Linked DNA regions of Schizosaccharomyces pombe. The protein of the gene in region 2 interacts with the protein of the main gene of each other region in a biochemical or structural test. Each region holds a gene or a part of one and is shown on either strand. Other genes may lie near its edges.

Evidence for each region. The genes of interacting proteins can lie anywhere in the genome.
Region 1: the proteins of mcb1 (region 2) and mcm2 form a complex in vitro, tested with the Schizosaccharomyces pombe proteins (one study listed by BioGRID).
Region 3: the proteins of mcb1 (region 2) and mcm3 form a complex in vitro, tested with the Schizosaccharomyces pombe proteins (one study listed by BioGRID).

Annotation. Positions count from the first base shown.
Region 1 is NC_003423.3:1,188,955-1,196,922, forward strand, and holds mcm2 (MCM complex subunit Mcm2), read right to left. Parts: upstream 5,189-7,968; 5' UTR 5,155-5,188; coding exon 4,922-5,154; exon of another isoform or gene 4,703-4,921; coding exon 2,443-4,702; 3' UTR 2,254-2,442; downstream 1-2,253. Other genes in the region: COPII-coated vesicle-associated protein Sfb3, read right to left, coding at 1-1,858; ubiquitin protein ligase E3 component mlo2, read left to right, coding at 5,400-6,389; SPOM_SPBC4.06 (acid phosphatase), read left to right, coding at 7,060-7,968. UniProt on the Schizosaccharomyces pombe protein: Acts as a component of the mcm2-7 complex (mcm complex) which is the putative replicative helicase essential for 'once per cell cycle' DNA replication initiation and elongation in eukaryotic cells.
Region 2 is NC_003424.3:901,842-909,299, forward strand, and holds mcb1 (mini-chromosome maintenance complex-binding protein mcb1), read left to right. Parts: upstream 1-4,955; 5' UTR 4,956-5,042; coding exon 5,043-5,204; exon of another isoform or gene 5,205-5,248; coding exon 5,249-6,592; 3' UTR 6,593-6,958; downstream 6,959-7,458. Other genes in the region: DNA-directed RNA polymerase I and III subunit Rpc19, read left to right, coding at 1,260-1,331, 1,405-1,502, 1,551-1,627, 1,705-1,835; rce1 (CAAX prenyl protease), read left to right, coding at 2,425-2,787, 2,839-3,291; DNA replication factor C complex subunit Rfc4, read right to left, coding at 3,288-4,136, 4,192-4,303, 4,447-4,514; SUMO E3 ligase Pli1, read left to right, coding at 6,998-7,030, 7,083-7,458.
Region 3 is NC_003421.2:369,190-378,094, reverse strand, and holds mcm3 (MCM complex subunit Mcm3), read left to right. Parts: upstream 1-2,770; 5' UTR 2,771-3,008; coding exon 3,009-5,648; 3' UTR 5,649-6,417; coding exon of another isoform or gene 6,418-6,483; 3' UTR 6,484-6,548; coding exon of another isoform or gene 6,549-6,597; 3' UTR 6,598-6,652; downstream 6,653-8,905. Other genes in the region: coilin Mug174 , read left to right, coding at 213-1,467, 1,505-2,130; qcr9 (putative ubiquinol-cytochrome-c reductase complex subunit 9), read right to left, coding at 6,418-6,483, 6,549-6,597, 6,657-6,742, 6,809-6,811. UniProt on the Schizosaccharomyces pombe protein: Acts as a component of the mcm2-7 complex (mcm complex) which is the putative replicative helicase essential for 'once per cell cycle' DNA replication initiation and elongation in eukaryotic cells.

The DNA of each region.
Region 1 (7,968 bases), on a different chromosome or scaffold from region 2:
CGTAGCTTTTAGAAGTGACAGCACAGCAATAGTTAACAACCCTTACTCTTCTCTCACCAGAAGGAGTGGTATATAAAACCGCAGTTTGAAAGTGAGCGTCCAAAGCTCCATTTAATTTTCCATCATAGGAAAACAGAACTGTTACACTTTTATCAGCATCAAGACTGCCAAATTCGATATCTTGTGGAGTTCGTTGCAAGAAGTTGCCTAAATATTTGGAGACACGCAGACCATTTGAGCATCGTGTCTTCAACATCACTCGATAGCCTTGCTCTCTGGTAACACTTCTAAATAAATCTTGTTTAAGTCGAGATCCATCACGATCAGCAACAAAATTACTATAGTGGTAAATCTGCCCACCACTTAAGGTCGCAACACTTCCAACAGTAGCAACATCAACATAAGCAGTAGCAGTAAAGAAAATATCAACACCTATACCAGCAGTAACATATTCATCGGCAAGAGATGTATACCACTTGTCTTGGGTGTTCCAAAGATTCTTTTCATCAGAAGTCCCATATAATCTTTGATCTTCACGATGCCTTAATTTCCCCAATCCCATCGTAGGAAGAGCACTAACAAAAACAAAAGCTTTTCCACCTGTTTCCTTAAGAAGGAGTTTTACTACTTCCAGTGCATTGCCAACGACTGGTTCGGGAATTTTAACATCTTGAAAAATTGCAGGGAAACTGTCCAGCAATCTCTCAATGACAACTTTTGAAGCAATGGGATCAACAAAAAGACCGGAAGAAAATGGAACAAAGGGATTCTCTAAATCAGAAGCAGCTAACATATGGGGTTGCTCTAAATTAGGAGATAAATTGAAGAAATTAACGCTTCGATCAAAGCAGACAATAGCAATTTTGACATTAGGATCAAGAGGTACCGGTCCGTAGAGAATATTCCGAATAGCTTCAGCTGCAACCTTGGGAAGTCCTTTGGAGGAAGCTTCATAGGAAACATCAATCATAAAAACAAAGCGAGCCGGCTTTGGCGGATCCTCCTTTATCCAATAGTCCTTCCCCACTTTAAAATCAATAGTGCCAACATTTAATTCTGGACGAGACTCCACTCCATCATGCTGACTACCGACTAAAGGATTAAAACCATCATCATTAAAACTATTTTCTGAACCGCAAAGATTGCAAGTCCATTTACTACTTGCCATCGTGAATTGGATAAAAGGATTGATGTAGCCACGACATTTTTTGCAACGTGGGGGATTTGAATTTGTGTTATCTACAACGGGTACGGGTGCTTCATCAGGACGTAACTCTGCGAACGGTTGAACAATCATTCCCAAGGGGATTCCGGAAGCATTGCAAACATCATTGGTAGCTGGAATCGCGTAACTGGTAAACTGAACGAATTTGGAAGATGAATTTCCTTGTTCATACCCAACAAAATCTGTAGTGGACATAGGTGGAGAACCCTTTTCCATGGTATTGAATATTTGGTTTTTAAACAATTGCTGATCTTCATAGCGAACTTCAGGAGCCGAAGGTAATGCTGCAGGATCGAGGAGATTTGTATCATTAGAAAAAGATTCTGGAAGTACTGAGGGTGTACTTGGCGTAGGATAATTCATGGAAGGCGGGATAGCAGGCGACATGACAGGAGCCAAAGCTGGTTCAGCATCTGTCAATGACATATCATATGCATGGGCATCTTTATGTCTTCTAGCGCGTCGGGGTTGTGGAGCCATTGCACTACCTTGCTGTATATACATTTGTGCGTTCATTTGAGCAGCTAACTGAGTGTCAATTTCAGGGCCCCCATATGAAGCAATATTGCCAGCAACATTTTGCCTATAAGTCTCAGGATTACCGTAATTTCCAAACTGCCCGGGATAGGCCATTTTGTTTTTGTGTCAAGTTTACTTGGTGGATGTACGAATATAAGTAGGTAAGGGTAGGGCAAAATATATACCAAATAAAAAGACTGATTTGAAAGAGTAACACGATATAAATAATTTTAGATAATAAAGTGTGAAATTTGAGATTCTTCAGGAACATCAGATATGAACTGGATGCATTTCCGATTGTCAAAAGTTGACTTCCCTTTAAATTTGGAAATGGACAATTTAGCTCTATATGTAAAAAACCTCAGCTGTTTCAAAAAATGTCATTTCACATGGGCAGTGGCTCTTTAATGAAACAGCTAATAATATTGATACAGCGGAGAAAGTATCTATACACCTAGTATCTATAGCGAATAGTCAATAATGATATTCAAAACAAGTGTTATTAACCTAAATAATTTAGATTGACATTTTGAAAACTAAGAAAGAATGAATGTAAAGATAGGTATAAAAATGTAAAGCAAATTTTGATTGCAAATTATTAAAGGATAGATATATGCAACAGATGCAGTAACAAAAGGAGGGTCAAAGAACGGGGAAATCAAAATCACTGGACTCCATAAACTGATTGTGTCAAAAAATTAAATAAGATATTTAGCAAATGTTCTTGACAAACTTCGTTTAACACTCATTTTTTGGGCATTCACAAAGGAATCAATAATCACTTGAATGGCTTTGTCTATATGTGAAGGGCGCACAAACTCACTGAGCTGCATTTTTGCAAATGCTTCACTTAAACGGATAGCAGACTCCAGATGACGCACAGTAATAGGATAACTTCCAGTAGCCAGTGACTCGCGTCTCATATCGCTATAAAGTCTCGAAATCTTTTCTTCATCCATTTGCTGTAATCGAGGAAAAACTTTTTCACGAGCGAAATGGATATATTTACGAAGAAGATCTTGGGGAATGGGTTTGGCATCAATACCAGTCTCAGTAGGGACTTTCTTCAAGACATCCATATTCGGATCAAATGCAGGATGAGATCGAATATGACTTGATACAACAAAATTAGCTAGCTGTTCATCAATTTCAGGATTAACCGTGTCTTTGACGACCTGAAGGATGTCAAAACGAGATAAAATAGGTTCGGTCAGCTCAACATTTTGATTAAAAGGAATTGTAGTGTTATAACGTCCACCGATGGGATTAGCGGCAGCAATAATAGTGCACCTCGCCTGCAAGGTAGTCACAATACCCGCCTTAGAAATAGAAATACTTTGTTGTTCCATGGCTTCGTGAATAGAAGTACGATCCTGATCATTCATTTTATCGAACTCGTCAATCAAACAAACACCTTTATCTGCTAAAACCAAAGCACCCCCTTCCAAAGTCCATTCATTCGTAATGGGGTCTTTACGGACGGATGCAGTTAGACCAACAGCACTGGCACCCTGACCTGTGGCGAAGACAGCCCTATGTGCCGTTTTTTCAACATACTTAAGAAATTGAGATTTGGCGGTTCCTGGATCTCCCAACAATAAAACATTGATATCACCTCTAATTTTATGCTTACCGTTAATATTTTTGGGGACACCACCGAATAAAGCAGCAGCAATAGCAGTTTTGATAGAGCGATGTCCATAAATAGAAGGCGCCATCGATGCAATAATTCTGTTGTGAATATCAGGCGACTTTGCTAATGCCCGAATTTCCCTTTCCTCATCATCAGTAAGCCGACTTAAAGAGAAATCATCATCAGTATTACCACTGCCGTCAAGTTGCGATATGTGATTTGCTTCTATAATTGTAGCGAAGACAGGAAACCCGTTTTTGGTATTCAGACTAGCATCGAAGTTATTGCGGTATATGCCAGTAACATCAATCTCTTCGCCTGGTTTGGCAACATCAACCAAGTCCGCTAAAAGAATAACTTCACGGTGTCGAGGCAGTCTACCTGAGGGGACGGTGCCAGGTGATTCTTGTAAAGTGATCCTTTGATAGTTATTATATACAGTCCGTTCAGAGTTGATTACAAACGGACCACGGCTGGAACAGTTGTGACAGAAAGAAATTTTTACTTCAACGCTAGAGTCTTGAAAAAATGGACCCAAAGTAGCACCACATTTGGTACATGTAAACCGAATGTATTTTAATTGTGGAAAAAGCCCAGTGCGCCTAGTTACGACACCAGATACCCGTACAAGGCAATTAAGATGGGATTGTCGTAGATCGCGTAAAGTAAAACAAGTAGGAAGATTAGTGATACGAACATGAATATCAGAGTGTATTCTTTCATAGTCTGGATAATGCAAAAGAGTGGCTTCCAAAGCAACACGATCAAATATGCGAAAAATAGGTGCAGGCGCATTGGCCAAGAAATAAGCCAAAATGGGTTTAGATTCACCAAGATGGGCATAATTAACCATCAACGACTCAGCATTAACCTCACCCAATGTGCGAATACGGTTACCGTATACAGAGGTGCCATTTTCATCTGTATATTCAAGAAGGAAATTTTTGAATTCTCGAGCAATTGTACGCCGAACAGGATCAAGAGTAACCCATTCGGCAATACTATCGGCCTTTACGTCGGCAATTGATTCAAGAGGAAGTTCACCAGATTCGTCCAATGCGCCAACATTAGGTGAATATTCGTCGTAAATTCGATGTCGATGACGAGTGAAGCCTGTGCCAAGATTGGAGTCCAAATCATCATCTTCATCTTGTAAAAATGCAGCAGGTTTTGTTCTACCTGCAGCAGCATCGAGCTCAATATCACGTCGTCTCAACCTGGCATCAACAGCTCTTCGGGCCCCGATATCTAATTCTTCAAGATCGTTATCGTCATCTAGTTCTTCAATGTCATAACGATCTAGCTCCAAATTTTGTTGATAATCACTATACAGTTAGAAAAAAGTACCTTATTTGACGCGAAATGTGAAACTACTCTTTTGAAAATCAAGATTTGTTCTGTCAATATAACCGCAACCTAGGAATCCAATAAATATATTTATTTACAAGAAGGAGAAGAAATAGTATGTAATTTATATATTGATGGCAACACTTAGTATACACAACATTGACAAGACACGTCTCAAGCATAGCTATAAAACTTACCGTTCCATTCCTTCTCCGAACAAATCTTCACCTTCTTCATCCTCTACATCTAAAGCTTCTCCGTCCAGATCCTCAATATCCTCCTCCACGAGAGCTTCTGCAGCTTCATCAGAGAATTCTGGAGGAGGTGAAGAAGGAGGTAAAGAAAGAGGTGTAGCACCGAGAGAAGAATTTTCTGATTCAAAAGGTAAACTTTCAGAATCGCGGCGACCCCTTTTCCGAAAAGAATCCATCTTTGGACTCAAATACTTTAAAGATGTTGTTTCTAACTATTTTAATGCATTGAATAGCTAGAGTATTGCAGGATGAAAGAATAAGAAATGCTACAGTATATTGTTAAATTGTATTGGAAAATGTAGTGATACCTGTAAATGAAATAGAGGAGCGTAATGAGTTAGTGTTTTGAATTATTCAAAAGACATTCTTCGCAATTGTTTACGCCGTCTATTTGCCAACGTTTAGTTGCATTTAATAACTTATGGAGGAAACGGCTCATGAATTAACGGTTAAGCAATATGTTGAACAGCAAAGGGAGCTTGAAAGGGAGGCACGAGAAGTTTTGCCTTACAGCTTTGACACGTGCACTTATTCGATGGGCTATTTGAAGCAACCTTTATACGCTTGTTTGACATGTCAAAAAGCTAGCGGAAGCTTAAATGCTGTTTGCTATAGCTGCAGTATTAGCTGCCATGCTGACCATGATCTTGTGGACCTATTCAATAAACGACATTTTCGATGTGATTGTGGCACCACAAGAACCCACTCCATACCTTGTAATTTACGGAAATCCGTTGATGAATGTGGCTCAGAAAATGATTATAATCATAATTTCGAAGGGCGATTTTGCATATGTGATACGGTGTATAATCCAGAGACAGAGGAAGGAACTATGTTTCAATGCATCCTTTGCGAAGATTGGTTTCACGAAAAGTGTCTGCAGAAAACTAATAAAGGAATTGCAATCCCAGATGCTGAGACTTTTGAATGGTTGGTGTGTTCAGAATGTTCAGAAAAATACCGCGATCATCTTTTAAACCAGAAGCATGAAAGCATAGCTGGTACAGAACGAGCGCCTCTATTTCTTTCAGAAAACTTTAGGGAAAATTTGTGCCCTTGTGAATCTTGCATCAGTTTGCGTAATTTGGAGATGCCAATGTTGGTGGCAGAAGAACCTATTTACGAACCTCCTGAGGATTCTGAGGATGGAATCAGTGAGATGAATGAGGATCCCAGTGAATCTGGAGAAATGATTGAGCAAGTCATATCTAGCACAATGAATGATGTCCTTCGTATTTTGGACAGACTTCCTCGTGTACAAGCTAACGAAAGCGTTTATGCGTATAATCGCTTAAAATCTGAGCTAACGGACTTCCTCACTCCATTTGCTCGTGAAAATAGGGTTGTCACCAAGGAAGATATATCAAATTTTTTCTTGGAGCGATCTCGAATCAGTAAAAATTTACGGTAGCGTTAATAACTTTTTTGAATTCCCTTCTTTTTTGGCGTATAATTTAACGTCAAAACATGTAGGTTATACTTAATCTGGTGATGCTTTTTGTGAAACGCTGTTTATACTGGTGAAACCAGAGATATTTTCTATGTGCTTATGGTTAAACGTAATCATTTCTCTATCAAAAATGGTTTAATTGATTTTCTTAACAGAGATGGTTAATTTGAGAGGCTTACTGGGGCTTGTTGGTATACATGATTTTAATGATGATGACAAATTTGTATGTATATTTGAACAATAATTAATATATTGAACTTCTAGCTTTCTTGTCTCTCCTATTTTAACTGCACTCATTAAAATTTTTAAACCTATCTATAGTTTTGGTGGTTGCGTCTTTTATCTTTTATTTTTGATTGAGAAAGCTAAAGAGAAACCCTGTCTGGGTATTTTTTTTTTGTTATATCTCATAATGACTTTCATTTTAATTTTTTCCTAACAGTTTTTTAAGATTGAATTAACTTTATATTTTATTGTTTTCTTTTCATAAACAAAACTAATTTTCAAATAGTGTCGTTTCGTTAATATTCAGTAATTCATATTTTATATGAGCTTTGCGATGATGTTCAAGCATTGAGACCTTAGTTGACAGCAGCTCTTATCCAGCATCATCAACCACTTCCTAGCCGCCATGTCTCAAATGTCTTCAGCTTCTGTTAAATTCCCGGATTCAGTTCCCGGAGTCGATTATCCAAAACAGCTGCAACTGAAATATTTACAAGTCATATTTCGACATGGTGAACGTGCTCCCGTGAAGGAAAGACTTGGTTCCGCCGGTATCCCTAAGGATTGGAAGCTTTGTAATAATGCAAGGAGGTTTTTTGCGCAAATTAAAGGGGAAAAGGAATGGTCTGTGTTGGGTTTTGAAAGGAAGGTTGAGTCACCAGTTGACACGTCTCTTGCAGCACCAACTTCAGACAATTCCCCAAGTGGTGTTTGCATTCATGGTGAATTGACTGATTTTGGGCGTGTTACTACCAGAACACTTGGTGAGTATCTTCGAGAACGTTATGTCAAACAATTGAAATTCTTACCTGATGAATTGAATAACTACGCTGATGTTTATATGCGTGCGACTCCAATGGTGCGAGCCTTGGAGTCTTTAGAACATGTTTTTTCCGGATTGTATCCTGAGTCAAAGCGTAAGATGGGTTTACCTGTCATTTTTACGAGAAATTGGTCAGACGAAAACCTACTTCCTAATGAAAACAACTGTCCTCGACTTGTGCAACTATATGAAGAATTTGCAGAACGAGCTGCTAAGCTTTACGATCCCTTACTTGCAGGCCGTGCCTCTGAAATGATGAGTCAATTCATGAATGGTCAGCCTGTTAGAGTTGTTTCAAGCCATCCTCGTCTCAGTGGTTTGCTTGATACTATTAACGCTGCCATTGGTAGCCATGTCGACTTCAATCCCAACCTAAGAGATGAACAATGGTTACGCGATGCCGAAACTGCTGTTGTAGAAGAATGGTTTGGCGGTTATAAGGTTTCTAAGTTGATGCGTCAATTAGGTGCTGGAAGCTTGTTAAATGATTTA
Region 2 (7,458 bases):
TTTCTTTTTCAAAGAATTGATCATTTAATAGAGACTTGAAACTATTAATCAATCTGGCACATTTATTGAAAAGTAGTGTCGTCCGCGAACAGTTGTGCTACAAACGAGTGTGCTTCTCAAATTGTTTCAGTTCAATAGAAAACTATTAATACGCAACAAACAAACAAAGAAGATGATTTTTAAATACTAGGACACGGTTCTTACGACACATTAACTTTAAATTACCAATTACCAGTACTGGCGAGGCGAATAATAAATATTAATTTTACTTAGTTAACAGTGATATTTTCTGAATATATTCTTTCTTTTAAAGTACTTTAATTAGAAATGATGAAGTATAATAAATTATAAATTGAGGAAATTTATACTTTTTATTGGAAAGTTTTTTATTTGTGATTATGCTGAATAAAAATGGCTTATTGAAACAATTGCTATATGATAGCTGTCGCAAAAATATAGATTTAAAAAAAATAAATAAATAAAATAAAAAATGAAGAACCGGCAATCAAATGTATCTTCTGGAAATCTTATTGATGCTAGTATCGTAAAATCAATTATTTAAAATGTCAAACACATATAAAAACCCAGCATATTATTTAAAAAAATGTCAATGAGATTTTTAGTACTTGCACTCTTCTATCTAATGCCATATTCGATGATGGTTAAAAATATCTTTGGAATAATCTCATTTATGATATGTTTTATATTTACTTCAATAGGTTCGGCTTAAGAGTTATACAGTAAACAATCAACATGCAAAACAGCCAGTGGTTCTTTTAACAGTAATAGTGTTACAAAAAAAAATTGATCATAGTTTTGTAAACATTTTGTATAATAAATGCTTATACTAAAGTCACGGCAGCAATCAAGTTTGATGATTAGTTGCTCATTTGTATGGGGTTTTTGTCAACATATAACTTGTGAGTGTCTAAAGACAATGAAATTTCTGTAAAGCTATAGGCTTAACTACAGTTATTTGACTAAATAATGCAAACACTGATAAAATACTTTAAAATTGAAACTCATTGACTCGTCAACAAAATCTTGTATTTTTTACCTGTCAACGATTTAACGCAGCCTCTTGTTGCTTCAGGATCATACGCTAAAATCTCTGCAAAAATATGCGTTAACCTACACTAAATACGGATTCTTCCTTTGGAAATTGAGCAGCGTTAGAAAATTTGTAAAGAGCCAAATATTGCTGTTTGCATAGAAGTTTCGCTGTATCTTTTCTTTTTTTTATAAAATAAACTTTAGACATGGCGGCAATGACAGACGTAACAGATCCTAGCTCAGTTGCTATGGAATCTGCAACTGAAAAAATAATTATCGTATGTGTTTGGCATAAGGATTTGATTTTCTTTAGCATTGTTCCTTCAATTAATATGCTAACTAAAGTTATAGCTTCCTGGTCATTCTGCTGATCTTACATCTGTGACATTTCAAATTCAAAAAGAGGACCATACGCTAGGCAATTCTCTTCGCTATGTCATTATGAAAAAGTAAATTGATATTAAATTGTAAACATATATTAACACTAATGTTTTCAGTCCTGAGGTTGAGTTTTGCGGTTACTCCATCCCACATCCATCTGAAGCAAAAATGAATTTTCGAATTCAGACAGCACGTAAGTGATTGAATGAAATATTAACTTATAGATTTGATTAATAATATTTTGGGACAAACTCAACTAACGAATTCAAGCTTCAACAACCGCTGTAGATGTTTTAAGAAAAGGGCTCGATGATTTGATTGACCTTTGTGATGCGGTTACAGAAAAATTTACTGAACAACTTCCTAGAGATACATCTACTACCATGGAGGTTGATGGATAAATTTGGTTATTTGTTCCCTTGGACTTTTCCATTTAAATTTCTATCATTCCATCAGCTGCAGTTTAGCAGGTAATATTTGGGCATTTCTAATTCCATTAAGGTCGGTGAAATAGTTAAAGAGAGAATAACTTTTATTTTGTTAGGGTATGGGTTGCTTACTTAAAATTGATGTTTTTATTTTTTAACGCGTGGTTAATTCTTCTCACTGAAAGTAGTATTTTTCATATCAATTGTACTTTTATAAATTATTGAAATTTTTATTGTAAAATCCGCTTTTTTTTTCAACAATTTCAAATTGGTCGCGTATTTACAAAGCGTTTATTTTCGTTATTGATATTGTCTGGCGTAACTTGCTGACATGCCATCTCTTCCTTGCACTTTATAAAAATCTGTATTAGCTAGCCTAGGATCATTGCTTTCATTTTGGGAAAGTAAAGATTTTTATGCTTTTTATTTAAGCTTTTATTCATAAACTTTGATTACCCATTATTTTCAATTGCTATTAATCACCCTTTTTATAGTAAGATAACCACGTAGCATTACCAGAGGAAGAATCGATTGGAAACTACATAATTTACAGTTTATTTTTATGAGAGTTTATTTAATTTCGTTCTTTTTCACGGCGATTTACGTTGTTTCTTTATACACGTTCCCAGTTGCTCGACCAAGGCCATCTCTTAATCGGAATGACCCGAAAGTTATTACGGCACGTTGCATAAGTGTCTTATTAGCATCATCTGTATGTTGTATTTTAACAAGGTTGATCATTGGCCCTTCATTGAATGTATTCACTTTCCCGACAGACCAAGTTTTGAAAAGTTTACTACACGCAGCAACTATATTTATTGGGCCCCTGTATGAAGTTTGGATTGTTGACAAAGAATATAGACTCTTCTTTATACATTTGAAAGACTGCCTGTCGAATGCGATTGCTTGGCGAAACATTATTATTGTAAGTATCATTAATTTCTTTATCACTCCACATTCTCACAAGTCTTTTTAGGGTCCTCTTTCTGAAGAACTTACATTTAGATGTTGCATAGTACCAATTTGTGAAGCTGCTGGGTGGTCAAGGCTTAAAATTATATTTGTTGCGCCTCTGCTGTTTGGAATGGCGCATATTCATCATACCTATGAATTTCTACTTGCCTATCCGAATGCATATATAGCTGCCGCTCTTCAAACTGTTGTTCAGTTTTCATACACCACAGTTTTTGGATGGTATACAACACATCTATTCCTTTCCACGCATAGCTTATTTCCTTCATTTTTAGTACATGCTTTTTGTAATTCAATGGGGCTGCCAACTTTGTACGGAAAAATTGGAAACAGAAATCAGACTAGGATTTATTACACGTTACTATTGTTAGGGGTTTTGATATTTTATATGACTTGGGGTATTACTGATTTTAATAATCATCAAGACTTTGAACCAAGACTGGTGCCATTAAACTAAATAATAAAAGACTCCGGCTTCATCTGTGACTTAGCAAGGCGACATACTAAACCACTTAACTGCAACAAGGTTTGCACACCCTCTAAAATAATCATATGAGTTTGGCCAATTTCCTTAAGCATTTCTAATCTTGAAAATTCCGGAATACTGTCCATTGTCTTTACTACTCTAAACATATTAGTGACAATGTCCACAGCACTGAACCCCAAATCCCATATTCCCTGAAGTTTTTCAAGGGCGACGTCGATGTTTCCAGATTGACAAGCAGTTAGCATGGCATGTATCGCTACAGGTGAAGGCTGATCGGCGACCCGGAAAACGTTTTCACCGTTCACAAGACCGAATCCAGCAACAGTGCTCTGTAGATTGTTCACTGCTTGACGCATATCACCTTCTGCTGTCATGATAAGGGCAGCCAAACCATCATCTGTATAATTGACTTTTTCCGCTTTACATATATTCAATAAACGCTGTAAAACCTGTTGATCCGTAAGACGTGAGTATCGGAGAATTGCACACCGCGATTGAATAGGTTCAATAATTTTGTTGGATTGATTGCAAGCAAGTGCAAAACGCGTTGTATTACTGTAGATTTCCATAGTTCTACGCAAAGCTTGTTGAGCTCCAGCCGTCATACTATCTGCTTCGTCTAAAATAATGATCTTATGCCTTCCAGGTGGCAGTATGACTTTTTTCTGTGCGAATGCTTTAATTCTATTTCTCACTACATCGATACCTCGTTCATCTGAAGCATTTAATTCTAATACACCTTCCTTATATGCTGGGCCAAGTAATGCATGTGCTAAACAAAGAATAGACGTCGTTTTTCCGATACCAGGCATTCCCTATAAATATAAGTCAGCATGTAGTATAAATAATAATTAAAAAAAAATAGGTTACCGAAATAACTAGATGAGGCATATTCCCTTCCTTGGCAATAACTTTAAGTCGGTCAATCGTCTCCTCGTTACCAACAATGTCATCCAGGACGATTGGACGATACTTTTCGACCCTATAAGTTTATAGATCAGCATACTATATTATATTGAACCTTTAAATTATGAAAAGATGCCTGAGTCACCAAGAAGCAATCGTAATAGCTGAACACTAAAACCTTCATAAAGGACGTTTTAATTGCTCATAATATATACATACCATGGCAGCTCATAAGCTACAGAGTTATTTTTCTCTCCAAATACTGATGATGATACTGCATTACTCATATTCAGTGTTATTGAACTAGTAACATCAGTACTGAGTTCCAGTGAACTAGTAAATTTGTTGAGTATTTTAACCACTGCATGGTAGTCACTTCACCCATCGCGAATAGAAAAGAGCATTAATATGTAAATCTGAAAATTTTTTTTATTCTTAAATGCACTATCAAAGCTAGCTTTAAAATATATGTTTGTACAATCGACACAAATGATGAAAACAAGCACATCAATATATTTATATTATTACAAAAACGATCAATAATCTGTAAAATTCTAATATTTTTCTCTTTTAAGAGTAGTAATAAGCAATAGATAACTCTTTAAATTCACGCCTTCTGTTTCTTAATAAATTAAGCTTCTTATTAAGCGAATTTATACAGCAATTAGTACATCGTTAGGTATATGCAACGCCATAGAAAAGGGTACTTAAAGTCAATCCGCTCACGTGAAATGAACATTGCACATTGCAATATCAACATCTTTTATCATTACTGGTTTCAATAGGTTTAAAGGATAAAATTATATATTTATAATATGGTAATTGCTTTATCTGATTCTTTTATCGAAAATCCAAGATCGTTTCTTCAAAGATTTCAGGATGCATTGTTTGCAGGATCTAAGCCCGATTTACAAGGCACTTTAGGCATCGATGAAGAAGTTTCTAATATTTTCGCTACAGAGGAAAGAATAAGAAAGGTTTGTTAAGTGGTTTTTTCTCTTATTTGACACTGAATATTTAGATTCCAAACTATCTTGACTGCAAATGGTCTGAGTTAAAGACTGGTCAACTACTTCGTCTTCAAGGTATGGTGCAAGACACCAATTTTGGGCATGAATTTTTTGCTGGAGCTGTAGAGGTAAATGAAAACATTTGGAGAGGCTGTAGATACATACTTGATTTCAGCGAAGATGAAATGCATTTAGATGAATCTAAAATTGTCCTAGATGAAAGATATTCACTGTTTCTGACAAATGTTCCTGGAGAAAGAACTCTTCCTGTTATAGAAGCTTTGGGAAACTGGGGAAGCGAGAGTCTGAAAGAACGGTCATTGAAGTACTCAAACCGCTTACAAGCAAGTAATGATACCGGCGTTTGTGTTAAATGCTATGGCGGAATGGAAACTAAAGTTCAAGTTTGTCAAGCAATCGATGTTATTGGAATTTATGAAGAACCAAGTGAATACTCGGATGGTTTACCCATTTTACACATGTTATGTTTTAAGGATTATACGCAATCAGCTACTCAAGCCCCTTCTCCTCAGCAAGCTGAGATCATTCGACCAAAAATATTAAAATATTTTGAAAAAGTCCTTGGTGAAAATATAGCTGCGGAAAGTCTTATGCTTGCTCTTCTTTCCAACGTTGTTCATAAAACCACTGGTTTGGTTATAGGTGGTTTTACTTTAAATTTAACAAATTGCACCTCTGAATTAGTGTCCCAGTTAGTTTCTGTGTTACGGCCTTTGATAAAAAGAATGGTGATTCAAAAAGTTAATGTCGCCGAGCTTAACAGGAAGCCGCTTTATCCCTTGAGTGATGGAGAGACATTAGATACTAGCCATTTGCAAGTGGCTCCTGGCACCCTTATAGTTCTTGATGAAACTGAACTATCGAGTGGAACCTTAAACGATGTCGGATGCCGTAACGTTCAGTTTTTGTCTTCCCTAATATCTCAACAGGATTTAACATTTTTTTATCCTTTCAGTTCTTTTACCGTTCACAGTAATGTTCGAATAATTATATTAAGCCATGGAAGATCTATTTTGCCAGCTGATGTCGGTTGTAGATGTAGAGGCGATTCTCCGGACACTATTGAATTTCCAACTGATTCGGATGAGCTGCAAGAGTTTTGTAATTTTTTTCACATGTGGAACATGCGTGCTAATATTCCCGAAAACATGCTGGATTATATTCAATCTACATATGTGAGCTCCCGTCAATATAATAAAGAAATCAATGAAAAAACACTTTCATTACAGATCAATTGCTCTCGTCTCTACGCGAAGAGTTTCGGTCGTCAACTGGTTTCAAGAATTGATTTTGAGGCTGCCCGTAGTCTAATCAATCATTGGACTGTCAACTGATTGATCGCATATTTTCTTATAATCAACATCATTTAACCAATGTTAGAAATTACTTTTCATGTCTTTTTGGAATTTCCAAGTTAATTTCCTCATTCATTCGATCAAATTCATCAAAAGTTCATTTATATTGTTATTTAATTATTACTACAAGTAAAGCTCACTTGCCCGTTTTTTTTTTGTTTTCTTACATTATCACATACCGCACTGCCATATACTTCCTTATCTTCAAATATTAAATTCAAGTTTTGCCAACCAGGCGTTTGCAGAGATTCAAGGAATAAATATAATTCATTGTATTTTTAGCTAAAATTTGATTTCTTTGTCTTTCAAATACCTATACGGAAGCAGTCATTGCATATAACATATGTGTAAATCGACGGTTTAGGCAAGCAGTCTAAAAACTCAATGAACCAGGCGAACTTTTTACAGGAGCTTCCAGTAAGCCCAATAATAAGATATTTACAAGTTAACTAACAAAATGAATGTTTAGAATGTACTAAAGCGACTGGAAACTGGTCTTATTATACCTCAACTGAAAGATATACTTCGTGTTTTTGGACTTCGTCTTTCAGGAACAAAAGCTGAGCTCATTACCAGAATTAAACAACTAATAGAGAGGATAGCTATAGAAAACAACACAACCTCTTGGGAAGCATTGAAAAAGGCAATCGATGGCGATGTTACAAGTGCCGTATGTATCTTAAAGTACAACACATATCAGATATATAGTGCTGCTGCTCCAATTGCTCCACCTAGTTCAGCTTCTGGAAATAGATCATACAGCCGTCCTTTCGCCCCAGTTGTTCATTCGCGAATACGATTTCGAAAAAGTCCCTTTTATGACATTTTGGAACAATTCAATGCAC
Region 3 (8,905 bases), on a different chromosome or scaffold from region 2:
TGTTAAATTGACAACGTGTAGAACTTGTAAACAAACCATCACAATCAATAAAAAAGTCTTCATACTAGGTTTTTTACTTTGACGCATTTTTTTCAGTTAAGTTCTTTAATCATAATCTTTTTATGAAAATAAACACATAACCTGTAGGTGTTCACAAAAAATCCTCTGCACAACGAAACACTCGTTATAACTAATAGAAAAATATAGTCAATATGCTGCTGAAAGTTAGCAGTTGTGAACCTTTGGTTCCTATAAAACAATGGATTCATACGTCCCAACTTGATTTATCAGACTCATCTAGTTTAGTGGCTGATTTACTTTACAATATCATCAAATTCAACTTTTCCGGACTAGAAGATAAACGCGCTATCTTCACAGGTTATGAAAGTATTAAAAGGTACACCATTGGTAATGAAATGTTTTTACAACTCGCTAAGGACGGATTCGCTTTACCTGTCTCTATGTCGTATGGACTATTCCTAGAAGAGACAGATACTCTTGAGCTTCGTGCTTTACCAAGGTCTGAAGGCTTACACAGAGGTTGCGAGGTGCTTGTACTAAGACTAGATAGTCCAAATGAACTTAAAGAAAATATTAGAGAATGGTCGTCTAAATTCATGAATAGCAAGGCTTCACAAAAACAGCAAATGCTATCACCCGAAACGATGCAAAAAGTTGATTTAGCTGGTCGTGCCTCACCTCGTTATCAAGCTAATGATTCATGGATTTCTAAAAAGAGAAATGCCCCCTTGTCATCTATAAGTCAATACGCTAATATGCCCGAAAATTATGCTTTAAATACCAAAAAGTCGAAAATTTCAAATGAAAATGATACTATTTTTAAAGCAAATTTTCAACAAAACAAATATGAGTCTCTACATGCTAAGCAAATTTCTGCTTCCGATTTATCATTGCACCAAGAATTCGTTTCAGCTTCAATAGTACAGCAACCAGAGCTCAATTCATTGTTGACTTCTCAATCAAAGAATTCAACTCCTTCGGAATCTGACTCATCCTCTTCCGAATCTTCAAGCTCAGTTTCAGATTCAAGTGACCTATCGTCAACCAGTGATTCTTCTTCAGGGGATGAAAGTTCGGACACAGCGAGACAATCTTCTTCAGATACGATTTCTTCTAATAATGTATCGGTGTCAGTTTCTTTAAATACGGCGAACGAGTTTTCTTTTCCACAAGGAACCTTTAAAGCCGAAAATGAAGCAGTAGAATCTGAGGTCGCCCCTTCTTCAAGTACGCCTCCTACTGTTGAAGAAATATCTTATCTACATTATGATGAACCTAGCCAATACTACTTTTCCTCTCCTAGCAAATTATCTAGTGAAACCACCAAAGTTCATCGAGGATGTGAAAATACTGAAAAACCTTCAGAAGAAGGAAAAAATTTTACAACCCCTTTATCAGATAGTGTAGAATCTGAAAATACTTGGAGCAATACCTTGCGTTCAAGTGGTAAGTCCCATTATTTAGGTGTCAACTAACTTAGTAGTTGAGGACGATAATACGGGTGTTTCCGATGATAATAAAAAAAGCAAATTAAATGCTGAATTCGATGGCCATGTTAATAATATTTCAGTTCGGCCTCCCGGATCTGGTTCATCAGCTACAAAAGCTCGGAATCTTCGTCGTAAGAAAGCAAGAATATTGAAACGTTTGATGCAAGAATCTAATGATACTTTTTCAGCCAATGAATCTACCGTCGTTGCAAATGTTCCTGACTCGTATTTAACTAAAAATGATGAGGAGGATTCAGCATCTTTAGCTTCATTAAAAGTGGCGCCTAAATACGTTTCTCATCCAGTTTCCTTATCCTCCAATTCTTTCCATACTGAATTTCCTATTGGAAGTTTGATGAGGTTCACAGTCATGGATTTAAACCCAGTTACTTGTACACCTGAAATTTCAGAGAAAACCGGTCGCGTAGTAGATTGCAGTGAAGAAAAAGTCAAAATACAGCTAGATTTAGGAGATCGGCTAGACTTGAAATTTGATGTGAATGGAGAAGTCATTCGCAATAGATACGGGACCACGCCTGATGAAGAGTTAATTGAGGGAATTGCTACGTACGAATGGTCTTCACTTTCGAATGTACATAAATTGGAGCTTACAAATTAAAATTTGATACCTCAAGTCTCTGATGTTATGACTATAATTCTGAGAACTTATTTGTTTTTAAGAGCTGATTATACGAACTCTTGAAAAGTTTAACAGAAGGCAGAACGATAGAAGATGATCTGTTGTTCATGTGATTTCTTCAGACTTTTTAAGCTAAACGTAAATTTAGTTACAAGTTATTACGTTGGTGAGGTTTTGTATTCTCTCGCAGAGTGAAAGTCACCTTCTATATAAACATCTCAAGCATATAATTTACCACATACTCCCTTACGCTTCATCATATGTTAATCTTGTGTTTTTAATGGTTCTCTAGATAAACACATTGTTCATCCTCAAGTATATCTACTTCTATTTCACTCATATTTTAAGTGAGTATGAGGGTTGACTTCTTTTAGCAACTCTCTGTTCGTTTAATGACTTTACGATTACAAACTTTGGAATTGTTAACGAACTGTTCACTGTGGATTATACCAGAACAGTATTATTCAAAATTGTATATTAATATTATGAAAGAAATTCAAAAAGAACTCACTTTTAATAACTTTTTTTGTATTTATGTATTTACAATTTCGTTTTCGATCAAGTAACATTTTGTAACTTCGTATAGTTATAAAGGAAATAGTCCATCCAACATAAGAATACTTCTTCATCTATCGAAAACTTTATCAAAGTTTGGAGGGCAGTAATAAGCCTGTAAAAGGCTAGTATTGGATATTGTATTAAAACCTGTGCGGTTTGATTTAACTCACTTAAGTTATACGCGAAATCCCTACAGCATTCGATCAACACATTTGCTTGCAGGTATCGCATGATAAAATTGGAAACCTTTGGATATTTTTTTACAAGTTATAGGACGGTAATAAAAAGCGCTTATAAAAATGACTGAGCTGTTAGCAGATGAGGTTTTTAAAGACCGTGTTAGAATTTTTCAAGAATATCTTGAACATGACACTGATGATGCTAACGTTACCTTGTACCAAGAGGCAATCCTTAGAATGCTTAACATGGGTCAGCGTCGTTTAATTGTCAATATTGATGAACTGCGCGATTACAACCGAGAATTAGCTGATGGTGTTCTTTTGAAGCCTCTTGAATATGTGGAACCTTTTGATGAGGCATTGAGAAATGTAGTTAGCACTCTCATAGATCCTGTTGTTCATAAGGACCTAAAGGATAAGCTGTTTTACGTGGGTTTCAGGGGATCGTTTGGTGACCACCATGTGAATCCACGTACTTTGAGAGCCATGCATTTAAATAAGATGATTTCTCTGGAAGGAATTGTTACGCGCTGCTCTTTTGTTCGTCCTAAAGTAATTAAATCTGTTCATTACTGCGAAGCTACAAAAAGACATCATTTCAAACAATATGCCGATGCTACTATGAATGGCGGCCTTAGCTTTCAATCCACTGTATATCCAACACAAGACGAAAACGGTAATCCCCTATCAATAGAATTTGGCTTCAGCACCTTTCGCGATCATCAGTCAATTTCTCTTCAGGAAATGCCTGAACGTGCACCACCAGGACAACTTCCTAGATCAATTGACATTTTGTTGGATGATGACTTAGTTGATACTGTTAAACCTGGTGATCGTGTTAATATAGTAGGACAATATCGTTCTATGGGGTCTAAAACATCTGGTAATACAAGCGCGACGTTTCGAACTGTGCTGCTAGCGAACAATGTTGTTTTGTTAGGGAATAAACCTGGTTTGGGAAATGTTGGTGGTGGTGCATTAGACATCACTGATGCTGATATTCGTAACATAAATAAATTGGCCAGAAAAAAAAATGTGTTTGAACTTCTCTCTACGAGTCTTGCTCCCAGTATTTATGGCTATGAATACGTCAAGCAAGCAATTTTACTTCTTCTTCTGGGAGGAACTGAAAAAAATTTGACGAATGGAACTCATATTCGTGGTGATATAAATATTTTGATGGTTGGTGATCCGTCCACTGCAAAATCTCAACTTCTTAGATTTGTACTTAATACCGCTCCACTTGCTATAGCTACGACTGGTCGTGGTTCTTCTGGCGTAGGTTTAACTGCTGCAGTGACCACAGATAAAGAAACTGGCGAGCGTCGTTTAGAGGCTGGTGCCATGGTATTAGCAGACCGTGGCGTGGTTTGCATTGATGAGTTTGACAAGATGAGTGACATAGATAGAGTTGCTATTCATGAAGTTATGGAACAACAGACAGTTACGATTGCTAAAGCCGGTATTCATACTTCGCTTAATGCTCGGTGTAGTGTGATTGCCGCTGCAAATCCTATATATGGACAATACGATATTCGTAAAGATCCTCACCAAAATATAGCACTTCCAGATTCTATGCTTTCGCGTTTTGACCTTCTTTTCATTGTTACAGATGATATCGATGATAAAAAGGACCGTGCTCTCAGTGAGCATGTATTGAGAATGCATCGTTACTTGCCTCCTGGTGTTGAGCCAGGTACGCCGGTTCGTGATTCCTTAAACAGTGTATTAAACGTTGGAGCTACAAACGCTGCTGGTGTCTCTACGGAAAACGTTGAACAGGAAGTTGAGACTCCAGTCTGGGAAACATTTTCAAGTCTTTTGCATGCGAATGCTCGAACGAAGAAGAAAGAATTGCTTAACATCAACTTTGTGCGGAAATATATTCAGTATGCAAAATCTCGTATCCACCCTATTCTGAATCAAGCAACCGCTGAGTACATTACCAATATTTATTGTGGGTTACGAAATGACGATTTACAAGGAAACCAGCGGCGCACAAGTCCCTTGACGGCACGTACTTTAGAAACCTTGATTCGATTAAGTACTGCTCACGCCAAAGCACGTTTGAGCTCAGTTGTGGAAGTCAAAGATGCAAAGGCTGCGGAAAAAATTTTGCGTTATGCTTTGTTTCGTGAAGTTGTTAAACCGAAAAGGAAGAAGCACAAAAAACAACGCCTAGAGGCTGGTGAAGAGTTTGACTCAGAAGACGATAATTCCGATGACATGGATATTGAGGAATCTGAAGAAGAAATGGATACAAACATGGTCATTGATTCGGGATCGAGAAGAGTTACCCGATCTCAGAATGCAACTTCGCAAAGTCAAGAATCTGGTTCGGAGATTGGTTCAAGTATCGCTGGAACAGCTGGTTCCTATAATGTAGGAACATCAAATACCCAGTTATCATGGCCTTCCACTCACTCGACCTTACCAGCTACATCGAGAGAGCTAGCCAGCAGTGACCGTAACATCAATACAGGCACTAGCGTGGCTTCTGAAGTGTCGGCATCTGTGAGCGAGCAGAGCACAGTTTCATTACCTCGTGAGAAGATGTCTGTGTTCATGGCCCGGTTGGCTTCCCTTACAAAATCCGAGCTGTTCTCAGAAGAGTGTGCCTCTTTGGAAGATGTTTTGGAATCAATTAATAATATCGAGGATGATGTAGGATTTTCGAGAGAAGAAGCTATTGTGGCACTTAAAGAAATGGACGCTCAGAACAAGATCATGTTTTCAGATAATGTGGTTTATCGTATTTAATTTTGATTTGGTTAAGTTATTAAAAATCATATCGTGGTTCCTGGTTCACCTAAATATTTGCATTAGCTCTATTGCATGAAGACTTATGTTTGTTCAAGATCAAACTATCCCGTTATTAAATGGACAATCTGCTTTTTGCATAATCTCATTACTTTTTTGAAGTTTTATTTACTATTCTCACTCTTTTCATTTTTGCCAATGAGGCATTAGACTCATTTTATAGCAAGCTTACACTCTTGTTAATGTATTAAATTTGAAATGTAACGAGTTGTTCGTAAGTATTTGAAGATTTCAAATCGTATGCAACTAACGTCTGGTAAAGGTTGAGTCACACTCATAGTTCAAATTACTTTTTCAAAAATATACTTACAAGCTTTAAAACAATTCAACTCTGAGTGATGTGGTGTTCACACACGCCTGGTAGATGAAATTTTGAATACACTAATAATTACCAACTTCTTACAGCAGTTCTTTTAAAACTGGTTATTAGGTATTTTAATGAAAATGATAATGTTCGTTATTTAGTAAACCAGCTATAATCTTAAACAGCTGCTTGCCAGTTCAAATCGTGCAACTGAATGCACCCAACACTTCATACAGCGTGGGCAAACATAAAGGGAACGATAACACTGAAGATAGACTTTTTAAATGGGGTATTTGGTGATTTCAAAACAAGTTCAAAATCAGTCCTCAAAGGAGAGAAAACAATAAGCTAAAGCAGTCAATAACAAACAAAAGAATTGAGAAAATCCAAAGTCAAATGATTCTTTTATTCATCATCCTCAGCATCTTCGTCTTTGTTGAGAAAACGAGGCTTAACCTCGTCCCATGTTAACTATCGTCTTGTTAGCACTCGATATCCACAGTCGCTTCAATCATTCACTAATCGAAAATACATACCCCAGCATTGGCACGCTTCCAAACACTGTCTGTAAAAACGTCAAATCCACTAGAACATTAGTATAATTGAATCATTCGATAATAGTTAAACAACACAATTCCACATACATTTTAGCAAAAAAAGCAGACACAAATATAGTTGCGTAGAATGAAGAGTTTCTTCGGAAGAAAATATTGTAAATAGTTGAACTAGCCTAATTGAAATTGATTAAAATCGATCCAAACCATTGTTTTCAACATCTCGATATCCCTTTACTTACCATTGAAAGAGAGGGGAGTAAGTTGGTAATGGAATGCGAAAACTGAGCGAATAGCATCAGAAGGAAAGGGAATAGTGAGGAAGATCGTTCCGAATGCAAAAGATAATTTAATGATTTAACTAGCTTGTAATCGATGAAAGCGATATGGTAGTCCTCTCAAGAACTCACTATCATGATTCGCGCTCTGTATCACTATTTGGTAAATATCTAAAAAATTCTAAAACTATTACATGGCGAGAAACAATTTGTTGGTTAAATTTATTGATTGATCAGTTACCTTACTATTTATTAATGTATAAAATAATCTTGACTATCGATTGATCTAGCAAACGAAACAGCAAGTCTTGTATTTCTGCACGGTTTTCGAATAGAATCGTCTTTATGTTGCTTAAACATTCAGTATGCACATAGCAAGCCCTTTTCTAAACTTCGCTTTCATTTTCAAAAACCGCAATTATTATCTTTTGTACATCATCAGCTGGATTTAAGTAATGTAATCATTACGCTCTCTCAAATACTTGTAACGATTTCGACAAAAAATGATTAATTGATGAAAAGTCAAGTTGAGTTTTTGAACACGCTATGTTGTTAAAAATATTATTCTGGTTTGTCTGGCAGTACAATTGGAACAATATATGTTAAATGCAATAATACATTCGCGATGAAGGACTTTCAAGTACATGGCTATTTTGTGAATTCCTGTGTTTTCTCGATTGTTAAAACAAGGAGATTTTTGGCATATTTGAATTAAACTTGCCATTTCATAAGAAATTTCTATATTTAATATTAATAAAGTTTTTGGGCGTTCCTTTTTCCGCTATTTGCTAGCTCTTCTATACTTTGTTTACACTTTTAAATGTTTGACATATATGCTGCTAATCCTCAAATCGCCTCAATGAATTCTTTTTAAACCAAAAAGAAATCCAGAATTTGTAAAGAATGCAGTAATTGTATTTTGATATTCTTTGAGTATCAGTGAATATAAAATCCGATATAGCAATTGTATCGACTTTGTTGATAATCATTTAGCTTTTTACTATATAGAATAACTTATCTCTTTCAGATATGGAGTATTAATGTTGGCACGGGTTTGGTGTTTGCATTAATGCTTCAGAAAAATAAGTTACGCCAACAGTACTTCCACCTTTGTATAACCATTTTACCTATAAACTTATAATTTATTTCGTTCAGATGTATTTATTTCCTTTCTTTAATAACATTATGTCAAAGGTAGAAATATAAGCAACTAGTTAATTCAAATTTTTATACTTAGACATTCATGTTTTATGTATAAATTCTTTTCAATGCAAAAGCTTGAGCTTGATTATTCTAATAAATTTCAAAAAATTATTTTAATATGTACATATATATTTATAGGTTTTTTTGTCTCAATTGTCCGAAATATTTAGCTTTTTATTTTTATGAATTTTCAATATACACTGGCGATTCTCTCATGAAAAATGAAGCTACCTATAATGGAATAAATATTTTGAAATAGCACATTTTTTATTATATATGTGTTCTCAGTGACTATAGATTATCAGATTATTAAGGGAAGAGAGATTTGAAATAACATAAATTATTTGATATATTAAATTACCGCTCAAGTCAATCACCTCATGGTTTTTATGTTATTAAATAATTATTTTGTTTGACTTTAGGAATTATAAAAAATCACCTTTTTACTTCAGTTTGATTTTAATCGTTGCATATACGTAAAGTAATGTACTTAGAAAAATTTAAGTCCATAATATATGTCGCTAATTTCCCCTTTTTTCTTTTTTAAAAAAGAATAAAATAAAAAAAAAGGTACTAGTAAATTAGCAGTATAAGGTTTTTTGGATTATTATTTACGATCATTTAAGTTAATGAACCAACTCCATGAATAAGTTAAAATTATTTTAATAAAGTGAAAATAAAGGTAATGTTTTTTTTTTTTAGGGATAATTCAAAACACATAATTATTCATGGTAATAAAGGCATCGGTCATTCTTTGTTTTTATATTTCATTTTGTACCCATTTTATGCTTAAAATCCCACGGTTCTAATGTTTGCACGGAGAACACTTTCTTGCAAACTAATCCTAGAGATTTAATA